Drosophila melanogaster: one gene and its partner. The protein of the gene in region 1 interacts with the protein of each later gene in a biochemical or structural test. Each region holds a gene or a part of one and is shown in the gene's direction. Other genes may lie near its edges.

Evidence for each region.
Region 2: the proteins of beat-Ic (region 1) and side-III form a complex in vitro, tested with the Drosophila melanogaster proteins (one study listed by BioGRID).

Annotation. Positions count from the first base shown.
Region 1 is NT_033779.5:15,997,552-16,004,359, forward strand, and holds the start of beat-Ic (beaten path Ic), read left to right. Parts: upstream 1-2,739; 5' UTR 2,740-3,703; intron 3,704-4,233; exon of another isoform or gene 4,234-4,325; intron 4,326-4,377; exon of another isoform or gene 4,378-4,588; intron 4,589-4,644; exon of another isoform or gene 4,645-4,850; intron 4,851-5,429; exon of another isoform or gene 5,430-5,509; coding exon of another isoform or gene 5,510-5,893; exon of another isoform or gene 5,894-6,090; intron 6,091-6,204; exon of another isoform or gene 6,205-6,741; intron 6,742-6,773; exon of another isoform or gene 6,774-6,808. Other genes in the region: CG34167 (uncharacterized protein), read right to left, coding at 5,510-5,893.
Region 2 is NT_033777.3:5,955,678-5,962,278, reverse strand, and holds the start of side-III (sidestep III), read left to right. Parts: upstream 1-2,723; 5' UTR 2,724-3,454; intron 3,455-6,601. Other genes in the region: CG11373 (uncharacterized protein), read left to right, coding at 1,334-1,489, 1,774-1,797.

The DNA of each region.
Region 1 (6,808 bases):
TTAAGAAGCAGCAGCAAGAGTTGCTCCGTAGTTGCTTGTAATGCAATGCAAAAACAATAACAAAATTATGCTGGCCAACAGAAGGAGCCGCTGACAAGTCTAAGGACATCCTAAGAGACTCCCAGGATGACCTCAAAAGTGCAGGGCAAGTTGCGAAAAACAGTCGACTCTTGGTCCCTAAGAAGAGGCTTAGTTTTCCCTTACCATGCACTGTCTTTGTTTGTTATGTTTTTCAATTACAAAAATTTAATTAGCTGCGAAAAGAGAACGACTTCTCCGTGGTAAATTTAAATCATGCATAAATTAGGAAATTTCCGCATTCCCACGTTTACTTAGCGGCACATTGGGCGCCACAATTAATTATATGTTGACATGACATTTATTTGACTTGCATAAATTAGTCAATTAGTTGATGAACGTTAATAAAGTTTATGGTGAACCGCTAGGAAAGGTGTAAGCGGGTTTATTAGTTGCGTTCTGGTTCATTGGGAAAAAGAGACACAATTCTTAGGACTCAACTTAGTTGAAAGAACATCTATCATAATTTTTTTTCTTTTTTATATATGGTCACATATATGGTCAATTCTTACTTGTTATACTCCACATTTTTAGCCACATTTAAAGACTAAGATAAATGATAATATTTACTCAAAAGTTCACATTGTTTCAAAAGCAATCGAATTCACCTTATTCACTTTACTCAAAGTCTCCCACTTGACCATTTGGCAGTGGTTCCTACTGCTGTCAGCAGATAGAAAATTTCTTGAAGGGCAAGAAAAGTGGAGAGGAGGTCCTGGAAAGATCTTGATGGTTGTAGGTTGTGTGCTCGCCGAACATTTTATCGCCTGCACTCAACGAAAAGGTGAATGACGATGGACGCACCAAATTTTCGACACATTGTGGCGTCCGTCTCTGTGTGAGTATGTGAGATGCACATGGCGTATACGCAATAAAAGAGCGACACTCAAAGCCGTGGTTATCAGAGGAGCTTTCCCCGGCCCTCATGCTTGTCGTCATTAGATTAGAGTGGAGCAAGCCCAGCGGAAGAGAGATAGAGATGAATGAGTGACAGAGAGGGAGGGAACACACAGCGAAATGTCATAGTAAAAAAAAAAATTAATTAGATGCGAAAATTATAATGATTCCTAAATAATAGGGCGATGAATAAAATTTGCTTCCGAGTTTATTTTATTTAACCTTTACAATTTTAATCTATTCTTTAAAGTGAAATATAAGTTTCATATAAGAGAACGAATAATTCAAAAATATTGCAATGTGAGTCAATCAACACTCTTTAAGATCAAAAATACTTGTTTTATCAACGATTTTGTTCGTATGCTTTTTGCTAAGTGCACGAATTTCATGCACACATCGAGGAGACAAAAATTAAACTATGGGGCGTTGCCTTGCTAGGATGTGCGTTAAATTGTAAAACACGAGGGGCTGTGTGGTGCGAGTTTTTACTGGGGAGGGGACTGTGGGGCAAAGGGGCAAAGGGGCAAAAGGACTGCGCCCAGCTGGCCAGTGTTATCCTGGCTGTCATGCTGTGGCCAGTTCTCGTTTATTTTGCGTATTAGACGCTGCTATTTTGTGCTTATTGTCGCCATGGTCCTCTCTGTCTGGCAGCCATGTCCTGCCGTGTCCTGTTATTTTTCGCTTGTTTGGTTCCTTCGGTGCCATTGTCAGCTCATTTGTAATTTTTGGCACAACGATTTCAAATTAAGCAACCGGAAATGAGCTGACATTTTGTATTCTGTTTCCCATTTGCTGTTCGTTCGTTTCGCTTTGAAATGCTCGCATTCGGTAGTGCGCAGCTTAACGGCACTTTAGCGGTTATTCGTCAGGATCGAGATCCATAGGGGCAATCATCATCGTATCCGCTTGGCCGTCGTCGTTATCATCTCCAAACACCCCACACACTCCTCCGCCTGCTGCCTTTCAAGTTATCTTGTCTATTATGACAATATTAATATTTACATTTTACAGTTATTGTCTAGCCAAAGCTTTCTCACACAGGATATCCACCACCATGGATATATGTATGTATATCAAATATATGTGTCTACATATAGATTCGTGTTCTCATGTATCCTTTCTATTTTGTTTGCTGCCAGTGCTGCTTGTCATGTTTGCTGGCTCGTATGCATTTGGTATTTTCTTGTTTATTGCTTTATGTTTCAACCGCTGCTGCTCTATTTTCCACCCGTCCTACAGTTTTCTCCATGGATACTGCATCTTGTCAATATGGTTTCCATTTTGCATGTTGTGCATTAGTTCCGTTTGTTGTTGACCACTTTAGTCGCTGTCTCCTAAGGTTCAGGCTTCAGTTTCTCCTTTTCATGGATGCCACGCCAGTAAATTTTAATTCTCGATTTATTTAAATTTCATTTAAAAGAGATTCAATTTATATTCAATTTCAATGCAGGACTTCATTTTATTTACTAGCTGCGTACAACTAATCGTACCGTTTAGTGTAATAGCCATTAAGATTTTTGTTAGACCTTAGTTTAAAGAAAAGGTTAGGAGAACACGAATTAGTATTAATAGTAAATAAATATGTTGATGTTATTATAATAATTAAACGGGGATTCCTGTTTCCTGAGAATTACATTACCCAATGTAAGTTTACAGAGTCTGTTAAGTTATCAGTTAAATAAATCCCAATGAATCCCTGTTAACAAGCAACTCACTTTTCGAACACGAAAGCTTTTCATCAACGAAACACAACCTCTCTTTTAGCTGCTTTCTCCCGCACTCTCTGAAATTTCCCCAGCCTCGGCTCGTGTTTCGTCAAGTGCCGAGTGGCTCAGCTCTTTATTCTGTGCTCTCGCTGGCAGGACACGAGTACGTACAGCCGAATTCCTTCGATTCCAGCTTCTACTTAACAGCATCGGCATCGGGTCCTTCAGCAGCAGCTGCTGTTGTTGGGATTCCGGCGAGGGCCGACAGCTTCCTGCCGCTGATGCTTCAGTTACGTTGATAATGTCAAATCGTTTGGTTCGCTCTGCTGTCGCCATCGCCCACGGGTGCAACCACAACAACAGTGCCAACGACGAGGGCCAGCGAGCTAATAAATTTTAATAAAATCCCCATCACAACAAAGAATAAACAACAGCGCAACCAGACAACACAAAAAATTCGTATAACAAAAATTGCGAAAGAATCTGCAGTTCGGCGGGCCAAGCAAATGCCCGCTAAAAAAAAGTGTCAGAATTTGTGAAAATTAATATTTCACCAGAGATTTGAGTGTTTCCAAAACAAACAAAAAAAAACCCGAACACTGCAAACAGGACAAACTTTTTCGTTTCGCCAAACTTTTATTTCGTACACACTTTTTTGGTCCTACGCGATTTGCTCGCGAAAATTATGAAAAATATGTGAGAAATGTGCAAAATCCGCAAAATACTAAAGTAAGGGCATAGGTCAAGCCCTATTCTCCAGTGCGGGATATATATTCTGGACGGGCCAAAAATCCCCTGACGTTGTCCTTTCAGTAAACCAAACCCACCCACCGCCCATCTAGTGTCATGTGTATGTGCGAAAAGAAAAGCAGCCAAGTTGAGTGTGTGTGCGCCTGGGTGTGGGAAGTCGTGTAACGTGCTAAAATAAGTTAATTTATTGCCGGCACAACAACAATCACAACACACAAAGACAACAACTGCCGGCAGTCATAACATTTGTGTTGTTCACCAGTTACCCAAAGGTGAGTTACTTTCAGTTGAGCGTTCCGACTGGGTGATGATGATATCTGTATCTGTGATTTTGCTCCGGCTTTTTGTTGGGACTCTTAAAATATAATTTACGGTCATGTAGGCTGTGGATTTTGCAAAACCAAGCAGATTTTTGGCAGGAGAAATATGTTTCGGCAGTGCGATTACACACAAATAAAATAAAAAATAAATTTCTAGATTAGCTTTGAAAATTAGGATTCATTAAACAAAAAAAACTCCAAAGAATGAATGACCATGTAGTTCTAATCTTTTGTCCAGATTACTGTAACCAATCATTTAAGAAGCAAACTGATTTTGTGCCGTAAAAGACGCTTTAAGCTAATTACTCATGCTGTAATAATCTGCATTAGACATAATTCGATTTGCTTGACACTTCGTAATAACTAATTTATCCAAGTAGATGAATAGCTCAGAATAATGAAAGGACTTGTGCCGTAAGTCACTTTACAATTAGGTGTTTGTAAAATTAATTAACATTATAGAATTTTAGTAGTGGATATAATAGTTCTGTGTCGCCCTTTACCGACTCAGCAAAGGCAATTTCCCATTGTGAAAAACAATGGATGTACCGCTATTAAAAATTCAGTTGACCCAGTATGTTGATATTTACATTTGAACAATACATTTCTGAGTGAAACAATTTTAGCCCATATTTGATGGTAACTTTTGGATAATAACCAGGTGGTTAAAATATCAGAATACAAACCCGTTCAAATGCTTTCGAGAACATTATTCACCGGATATGCCTCTGGCGACTCGACAAAGTGTTTTTGTGGAAACCGACAATAAAAATTATGCCGTTCATTTAACTTGTTTGGGCGGAGATTCGTCTGAAGAAAGTGATGGAATGGCCAATTGTAAGTGAAAAGAAAATGTAAAATATTCATTCAGATCTTGTTAATTTGTTGCATAGATTTGGTTCAGACCTACGCCACTGAAAAAAGGCCATCAGTTAGAATTATGAAGAAAATTTTGCAGGCGCACAAAAGGCACGGCTTGGAGTTGAAGTTTCTAAAATATTGCGTGTAAATATATTGGAAAAAATTATTTATTCCCATTGAAAAGTGGTCTGTAGCCAATAACTAGACTAAGAAATATCATGCTAATTGAAAATTTTTATCAGACCATTTGCGTTTTTGTTTTTGAGCTTCCTTATCAAAACTAATGTATTGGTTTGTGAACCAAATTACATTGAGGTTTAATTAAAAAAGAAATTTATGGCTAGGAGCGCGTCAATTTGTTTTCAACTGTGGCAGTTTTTAAACGAAAATATTTTGGTGACTGGAACCGTTGTCAAAAAGTTCGTTCAATTGACCTGTCTTCGCTATTCAAGCGTGGCTAAAAAATACAACCGAATAGCTGAACAAAAACTGTCAGATCCATGACCTACATAAGTACGTCGTGTAACCAAATAGATTGGAAGGTTTTCGAACGAATATTTTGTTTTTCCCCTGCATTCGCTTCGTATGCAAAACCAAAACAAGCAGCTTTCAGATTTTGACCATTTTTCCATTGTTTTGCTAGTCTCTCGAATGGAAACTTTTGCCTGCCCATTTCATTCGTTTTTTGCGGGCTAGCTAACAAAAGTTCGAATGTTAAATGATTTTCATGGCGCAAACTTTGGCAACCCTGAAACTGGACCCCGGTCATTTGTTAGCCTGTCAGAAAGGCAACAAAAATGGGCGCAAATATGCAAGTCTGGCTGACACGTGAATTTATTGCATTCAAAAATATGAAAAGTTCCAATAAAAAGTGCAACAACAGGGTACTACAGGGTATTAGTACAGCGGGCCAAAGCAGCCCCATTCCCAGCAATTTTTGCATTTGTTCGGCACAAAATAGAAAGGTGGCGCACAACCGCCGCTGCAACATCCGCAGTTGCAGGTGCATTTCATGCAGGGCAGCAGGGGACCCACGGGGCCGTAGGTCAAGCGGTACGAGACCACGGCACAGGGCGGTGGGCCACAGCATCCGCCACTGGATCCACCACATGAACCGCCACATGATCCGCCGCAGGATCCGCCGCAGCATCCTCCTGTACCGCCCCTGCAACAGGAACCACCAACACAGCAGGATCCACAGCAGCCACCTCCGCCGCAGGGCTTACAACCAGACCCACAGGATCCAAACTGCGGTCGGCATCGCGGTGCAGCACAACTCATCCTAGAAATTACTTAGCCCTTTGCAACCTGTTGCTAAGTACTTGCCGCTAAAAAAAATGCTAAATACTCCGGGGCAGTGATGGACAGTCAGCTCACAGCTCCAGGCGCCTATTTAGCACCTTTTTTGTCCGCCAATAGTCACAAGTCCACTGGGAAAATTTTATAATTCCTGTCGAATAAAAACTCTTGCAGTTTCCTCAAGTATTTACTGGAAAAGTGACACCAAAGGCAAGGATACATGCGGTTGAAAACATTTTAAATTAGAATCGTATCGAATAAACATATATTGGAGACTAAGTAATTCCATGTATAATTTGCAATTTATATGGTAACTTAACGATTTTTCTTCCTATAAAAGTCTATAAAAGTACTTTTATTCCATCACTCTATTTTTGTCACCAAAACATTGCAATTAAAATTACATCTCAATTACACATCCTGCCTTGCGGTACCATTTAAAACCGACGTATGGTCGCTAGGAATATCCAACCAGAACCACCACGCTTCGTCGAACCCATGTCCTCTCAGTTACATTTGCACAGTTGACCATGCGTGGGTTTGTCTACTAGATCCTCACATGCAGACACCCTCTTACATGGCCTCTGGTCCGTCGGGAGATATTGTAATTGATTGTCTCCGCCTGGATGAATAGGAGTTGGATTGAAGTATCATGGACCGGAGTGGCAAAAACTTTCATCACGGTTCGTTATTCGGCGGATAGAAATTTGCATCGCCAACGGTCCGAGTTAAAACTCGTGGTAGAAGTAATAGAATTATGAAGTTGTTCTGAACAGTATGCAATCTCGTACTTTATTTTGTAACGCTTACTTGATTGGTTGTGTCACAGAGAACACCAATAGAGTAATTTAATTTATATATTCCCACAACATGCCATAATATGGTATATATGATTGA
Region 2 (6,601 bases), on another chromosome or scaffold:
AAAGTGAAAAAGTTGTGCGCTGGGGAAAATTGAAAACAAGTGAAATAAAGCGATTGGCCATAACATTTGCGCGTACGCGTGCATTTTCCATTCGGCGAGTTGGCTTTTCTGTTTCCTCTCGCATTTTCCCGTCTTGCCAGCGCCTTTGTGTGCCCACAATTCTATGCTATTTTTATGTTTATCTGCTTCACTCCATTACGACTTTATGCTCTTTAGCAGACAATCAACATTGTTGCCGCCTTCCCGTTGTTGCCACCCCTTGTCGCCTTCCGGCCCACTTTTCCAACCCATCCCAGGGGTTGGCAATGGGCAGAGTACCGTTGGGTACCGCTGGATGGCTTACTGGGCGGACAATGCCCGTGCGAAAAATGCAAATTGCGAGTGGCGGAATGAAGTGAATGAAGTGAATGGGCGCCGAATGATGGAATGAATGAATGAGTGAGTGATTGTTGCTGTGAGCCGTGAGCAGTAAGCCAGACATTTAGAGGAATTTGCGCTGTCCTGATAAATAGCCAACGCTTTTGGCCTAGCTTCAACTTGGCCTGCCCCATATGCCATAATTTATGCAAATTAATTTATAAAAATATATGTGTAGCTGTGCTGTTACGGTGGTAGAGCCGTCATGAACGCGGACATTTTTCATGCAAGTGCGTCAGTTTTTTCGAAAGTACATAAACATAGTGTGCCTTAAAGTAGACCCATTTATATGGCTTTATGCTTTATGCGTAATTTCAGGCGCTGACATTTATGATGAATGTCCATTTACACCAACCTTCAAGCCAATAGAAACTGCAGATGATTTTAAATCTGAACGCAAATCGATGGAGTTACAAAACGTTTTGTTTTCAAAAAAGCAAGATACTAAAAGAAAGATCATAATTTTGGAATATTGTTCCACAGCTATTGTTTGATGATCAAATATAATCTTTTTGAAACTCATTGCATTTAAACCTTCATTATGTTTGTTATTGATTTAATATAATGACCTATGTCCCTTGTTGGGTAATAACAATAACAATAGATCATTGTCATCCGTCTGCTACTAGTGCTGTGAGCTCTGCTGTAAACACAATATATTTATGAGTCTTCAGTTATGTTGCCGTGACGACTGACGAGTGAGTGGACTGCCCTTTGGCCTGTGACTGGAAGTCAGACTCATAGTCAGACGTGTATTCGTTTGCATTCTGAAAGACTTTATATGAATTTGATTCGATATCCTAGGCATCTAGTGGGCGGCCACATTAAATTCAATCGGTGTAGCACACAAGTGATTGAAACATGTGTAAATTTTACTGTCAATAGTCTCAGACAATTTTCGTAACGCGCCGCTAAAATGCCCGAAAAACCATCAGCAAAGTCGGCTCCGAGGCCCCTGACCAGCATAAAGGGGACCAGGCCCTCCACATCCTCATCCAATCCCACCACCAGCAGGAGCAAACCCACAGGAACTGGAGTGGTTCGACCACCATTGCCAAATGCACACGATAGGGTAAGATTTTTTAGATTTTTTGCAAATGAGAATATAATCGATGAATTAATCACTACATCCTAATGTTTGGATTCGATTCGACTAATTGAATTACAAACACCTATGCATGAGTAATTGAATCCCCTCTTTTCATTATACGTTATAAAAATGGTGGCAACTGAATAACAATAACAATATCTTTATGAATAATTGCTTTTTCAATAATGAGAAATGTACAGCTGTTTTTAACTCAGCTATTTCGATAACAAGAAAGTTGAATATATTAACTGTTGAAAATTTTACAGATTTGGAAGATTATGAAGATGTAATAATATCTAAAAATATTCGGTAAGTTATTAAAATTTGAATAACTGTTGACTTATGATTTTATGATTTCAGGTCCCCAAATTGGATCCACGTTTTAAATCCTGATATTCTTTTTTTATAAAATGTACGGATTCTTTGACGTCTAAAGCGCTGAATAAAGCGAATAAATCCCAAAAGGGAAATTACTCTTATAATTTCTTGATAAGCTGACTGGAAGTTGGAATAAGCGCAGGCGCTTGTCCTCGCAGAGAAGAGAGTAGTGTTTGAGCTTGTTGGGAAATTTTCTCTTTAAGGGGTACTTTTCATCTCAGTTTGCCTGAAGCTGGCTTTGAGTCTTAAAAAAATATTTAAGTCAATAAGAGTGTTAACTGGTATTATTTTTACTATAAGGGGCTTATTAAAAACGTCAAGAAACTTGTCCGCTGTCCTTTTTATGGATACTTAAGACGTACAAAAAGTTGCTGAATAACTTTAGATAAATAGGATGGTTTTAAAATGATTAGTGGGTTCATAGCTTGAAGAAGGATAGTTCTTGGTCACATTGGTACCAGCAAAGATAAAAAAACGTCAATAATACAAACATTTGATAAACATAATGGAGATATTTCATTCGTAAATAAAACTGTAACTCAACTTATGGACAGTTCTCTATTTAAAATCATCCTGCAGGACGAGAATGTAAAATTGCTTGGGATAGGCCTACCTTGGCAGTTCCTTAAATGCAATTTAAACCAAAACAAACTCAAGCTGCCGATACACTCTCTTCGCCGAGCTCGTGCCATTTTTACTTTCATTCGGTAATTGAGTGAAAACGAGGTTGGTCCTCCGAGGGACCTCTTCGCGCGACGAGCGCAAAAGTCCCCGAGATGGAATCGACCGAGCCAAAGGATATTTTGGTGCTCGGCAGCGTTTTTGCCAATGCCGTGGCTCAGTTTCGTATTCGTGTCGGAACGTGGCGCTACGGTCTTCTGCTCAACGATACGCGAAAATCCAATCCGCTGGAGGAGCAAAACGCGGCGCGTGGAACCCACAAAACAAGCAAGCAAGCCAAACGAAAAAGGAAGCTAAAGCACAACTCATTCGGTCGAGTGTGCCTGTGTGAGAGTGTGTGAGTGCCGGAATATCTGTGTGAGTGGATCGGTCCTGTGTTGTTTGGGCCATTTAATTTTATTAGCGCTCCGCGATGCGTCATTAAAATTGCAGGCAAAACACAGAAATACAATGAATGAAAAATTAAATATTAATTAAAATTTGCATACGAATCGAGCGGCGAGCGCTGCGATTCCGCTGATTGAAATGTTAAATAGATATTAAAAATTGATGGTGTATTTCGGTCACATTTCGTTCGTCGGTCATTCTGCCGGAAAAGTCAGACTGAGCCGTGGCCCCTACAATTCATACATATACACACATCCTTACAATTATGTGTATTGGCATCTTGGCCATCGGGAGTGCGTGTATATGACTTTATTAAACTTGTAAGTCCCCAACTCGCGCGACCTTTTGCACATTGTTTGTGGACTTTGCGAGTGCTCCAGATTTGCCAACCATTTGTTGGTGCACTTATCGCGATTGCCGCACGGATTGCTTCACCTGCAACCTGCAACCTGCCACCTGCACCTGCCACCAACATTCTGCACCCTGCCGCGTCCTCGAAAAGTGCGTATGGAACTGCAAGTTAATTAAGTATTTGACTCTGCATATGACAAATCCCGGTTTAAGCGAAAAGCGACTTTAATTCGCAATTCGAAACGGGTTTCGTTAATGTTTATCGTCTTGTTCTCGATTAAATCGGCTGTCGCGGGCGTAATATATTCATGGAATCCTTCTGCGTGCTGCACTTAATAGCATTTAACTGGCAATTAATTGCCTTGAGCTCAGCCACCCACTGGTCAAGGAATCGATGTATTTGTTTCGTCAGCAGAACACCAATACATTTTTAATGTGTTATTATGGACATTTTTCAATTAAAATTCCCAAGCGAATAGGGTTATTAGCAAAACAAATGAATACAAATATTTCCGAAGCCCATTATACAATGGGAAATTGAAGACAAAGTTAAAAATTATATACATTCGTTAAAGGCATTTCCCGTATTCCTTTTTGAATAAAATTCGCTCGAACAAAGGAAAACTTCTCAGTGCCAAATCAAAATAAAAATGATAAAGCATTGTGCAGATTTGTACCAGCATTTGACCGAAATTTATGGCCGCCTCCTGCACAAAGTGGTTTAAGCCAGTTAGCCCGGCCATGAAAGCTGCTTACAACAAGCCAAAGAGTACGCCAAAAACCGGGCTCAGATAGGCCCAAGGACAGACAATCGGCAAGTGGGCTTATTTGCAAGGGCCGGGCTAAGCATTTTGGCCAGACAGCCGGCATCTGCACTTACCTATCTGCGGCAGCAGCACGTTTTATAATATTTATGCATGTCCCTGCCAACAGGAGATGTGCACTCATAGTTAGGGGGTTGAGGGTTTCGAGAAGCAGGGGGATTTCCGTGCCAGGACTTTAGGGGTTCATGAGCTGAAAAATAAACTCGACGGGTAGCGTGGATCTGGAGTGTGTGTAGAGGCACTCTGACATTTGCCAAAAGTAACACTCCACTCTCAAGTGGGCCAGGACATCCAATGGGATGCATATCCGAGTGGTAGGCGCATCCGAGAATTACATTTAAAATTATTTTACTTGGCAGGGGCTAGGGCAAACAAACCAACACAAACACAAGCACATCAACAAATACAAATACAGATACAGGAAAAACAGAAGCCGGGCAACAGATGCCTCAACAACAAAATTAACGAAATAAAAACAAGCCAAGAAAAACAAAACAAGTGCAGCCAGAGAAACACGCACAATACGTTTTTTTTTAGTGGATGTGGAATGGAATTAACCCATTTAGAAACTCGCTTCCACATTCGGGGGCATTTTCCTTACTTTTTCTGTAAGCATTATTTGCAACCTTTATTTGTTTTGGAAAAATGTACCAAATTTTATATTTATTACATAGTGAATGCAAATGTTGCTACTAATTTATGAAAGCACAATGCAAATGGGTGTTCTAAGCCTTAAACAGTTCTAGATGGTCTATTAATTTTCAAATTTCCGTTATAATGGAATAATATTTGCTTAAATGATGGCGATAGGTTTTCCCAGATCCTGAGTAAATAACGGGTTAACTGCGAATGGCTGGCAGAAAGCCGAACGAACATCTCGACGCCCACTTGGCTGCTTGGTCGTTTACACAAGCTCAACATTTCTGACAGTGGCACTCGCAAAACGAGGAACATGTGGAGCAGCTGTGGAAAAAGATTGATTCTTCGCTGCTCGGGAACGCAGAAAAAAGGACCAAGTGCCTAAGCAACAGCGAGCCCCTGGGTCCTTGACTTTTCCTTTGAACTATTGCAGTGGCCGAGACCGTTTGTTTTGCTTATTCCCCATTTGTTGCTTGCTTACAGCTGTCCGAATTTATTACGGCCAAAACAAATCGGTAAACTTTCTATGCCGACTTGCAGCAACTTTCACGTACTGAGGCTTTCCCTGTGCACTTGCTCCTGCCTTCGCATTCGTGTTGGCCTTTTGTCATAAAGCTTAACACATAAAAATGTTATTGTCCGATGTGGAGTTGTGTGGCTTATGCTGATTTGTGTTGACCTAGTGAGCTTCCAAGGCAACGGAAGAGAATCGGGCTCAGAATCGGAATGAAGTATGGACGTTTTATGATCGTAAGGCTGATTTAGGATTCCCAAGTGAAAGCTTTAAGGACTAGAAGCAAAAGCGATGCGAGTAGGACGCCGAAAGGCGTTGCATATCCGGGCACCAATTATTGGAATGCTCGTAAAATTCCGGCTTACATAGAGAAAATGTAGGAAAATGTGTCTGGTATAGCTCTACCTACAAATTTAAAGTAACTTATTCCATTCGGTTGGGTTTATGGAATTTGATGAACCAGCTTTCAAAGAAGCCAGAAAAAAAGTTCAGCTTATAAAAGAAATTTGACATGGTTCTTTATAATACAGTTTAAAGTTATTTTATTTAGTTTAACAAGAAATTGTATTATACCAAACAGAAATTACATTTTACTGCAGTTTAATACAAATATATTACGCATTTCATTGACGGAAAAATAGTACTCTTGAAATCAGCACAAAATATAGTTGTAATGTAGCCTCACGAAATCTTTTAGTGGATATCGTAATTTATACTAATAAAGATAGAAGAAACATTTTCGAAATTGGAAGAACATATTAATGTTTTTGCACGAAAGCATAAGCAATCTCTTATAATAATAAAAATTAATTTTGTCAGTTTATTTTAGTTTGCTTAATATTTTTGTAAAATTGAAACCAATAAAGTATATCTAGGCAAGAAAAATCCGCAAAGGCGATAAAACCGAAAAACAATCCGAATTTGGATGAGTCAAATACTCAAATTAATGATGTGGACATATATACTTAGTTCCTCTAAACTATTGTGGACCTATGCGCTCTCCATTTGCCTGCAACAAAATTGAAACCAATAAATTACTAAGCCTTCTCAAGCTAAAGGAGTTATTAGCTTAAAAAATAAACAAAGCCGACGTAATGGCGGACACTTAACCCTTATCGAGTCCAAAGTTAACCTGTAATTGCGCCACTTGAGCATTTAACTCCCAGTAAGCTCGGTGAAAGCGTTATGGGGGCTCCGCTCTCATCGGGAATTACACTTCATTTGCCTAACCAAACTGGCCCCCGAAAAGAGTTTTCCGACCGGAGTTTGCGCAAAGTTTTAACTCTTATCTGTTGTCTATCAGGAAATTTTATGCGATTT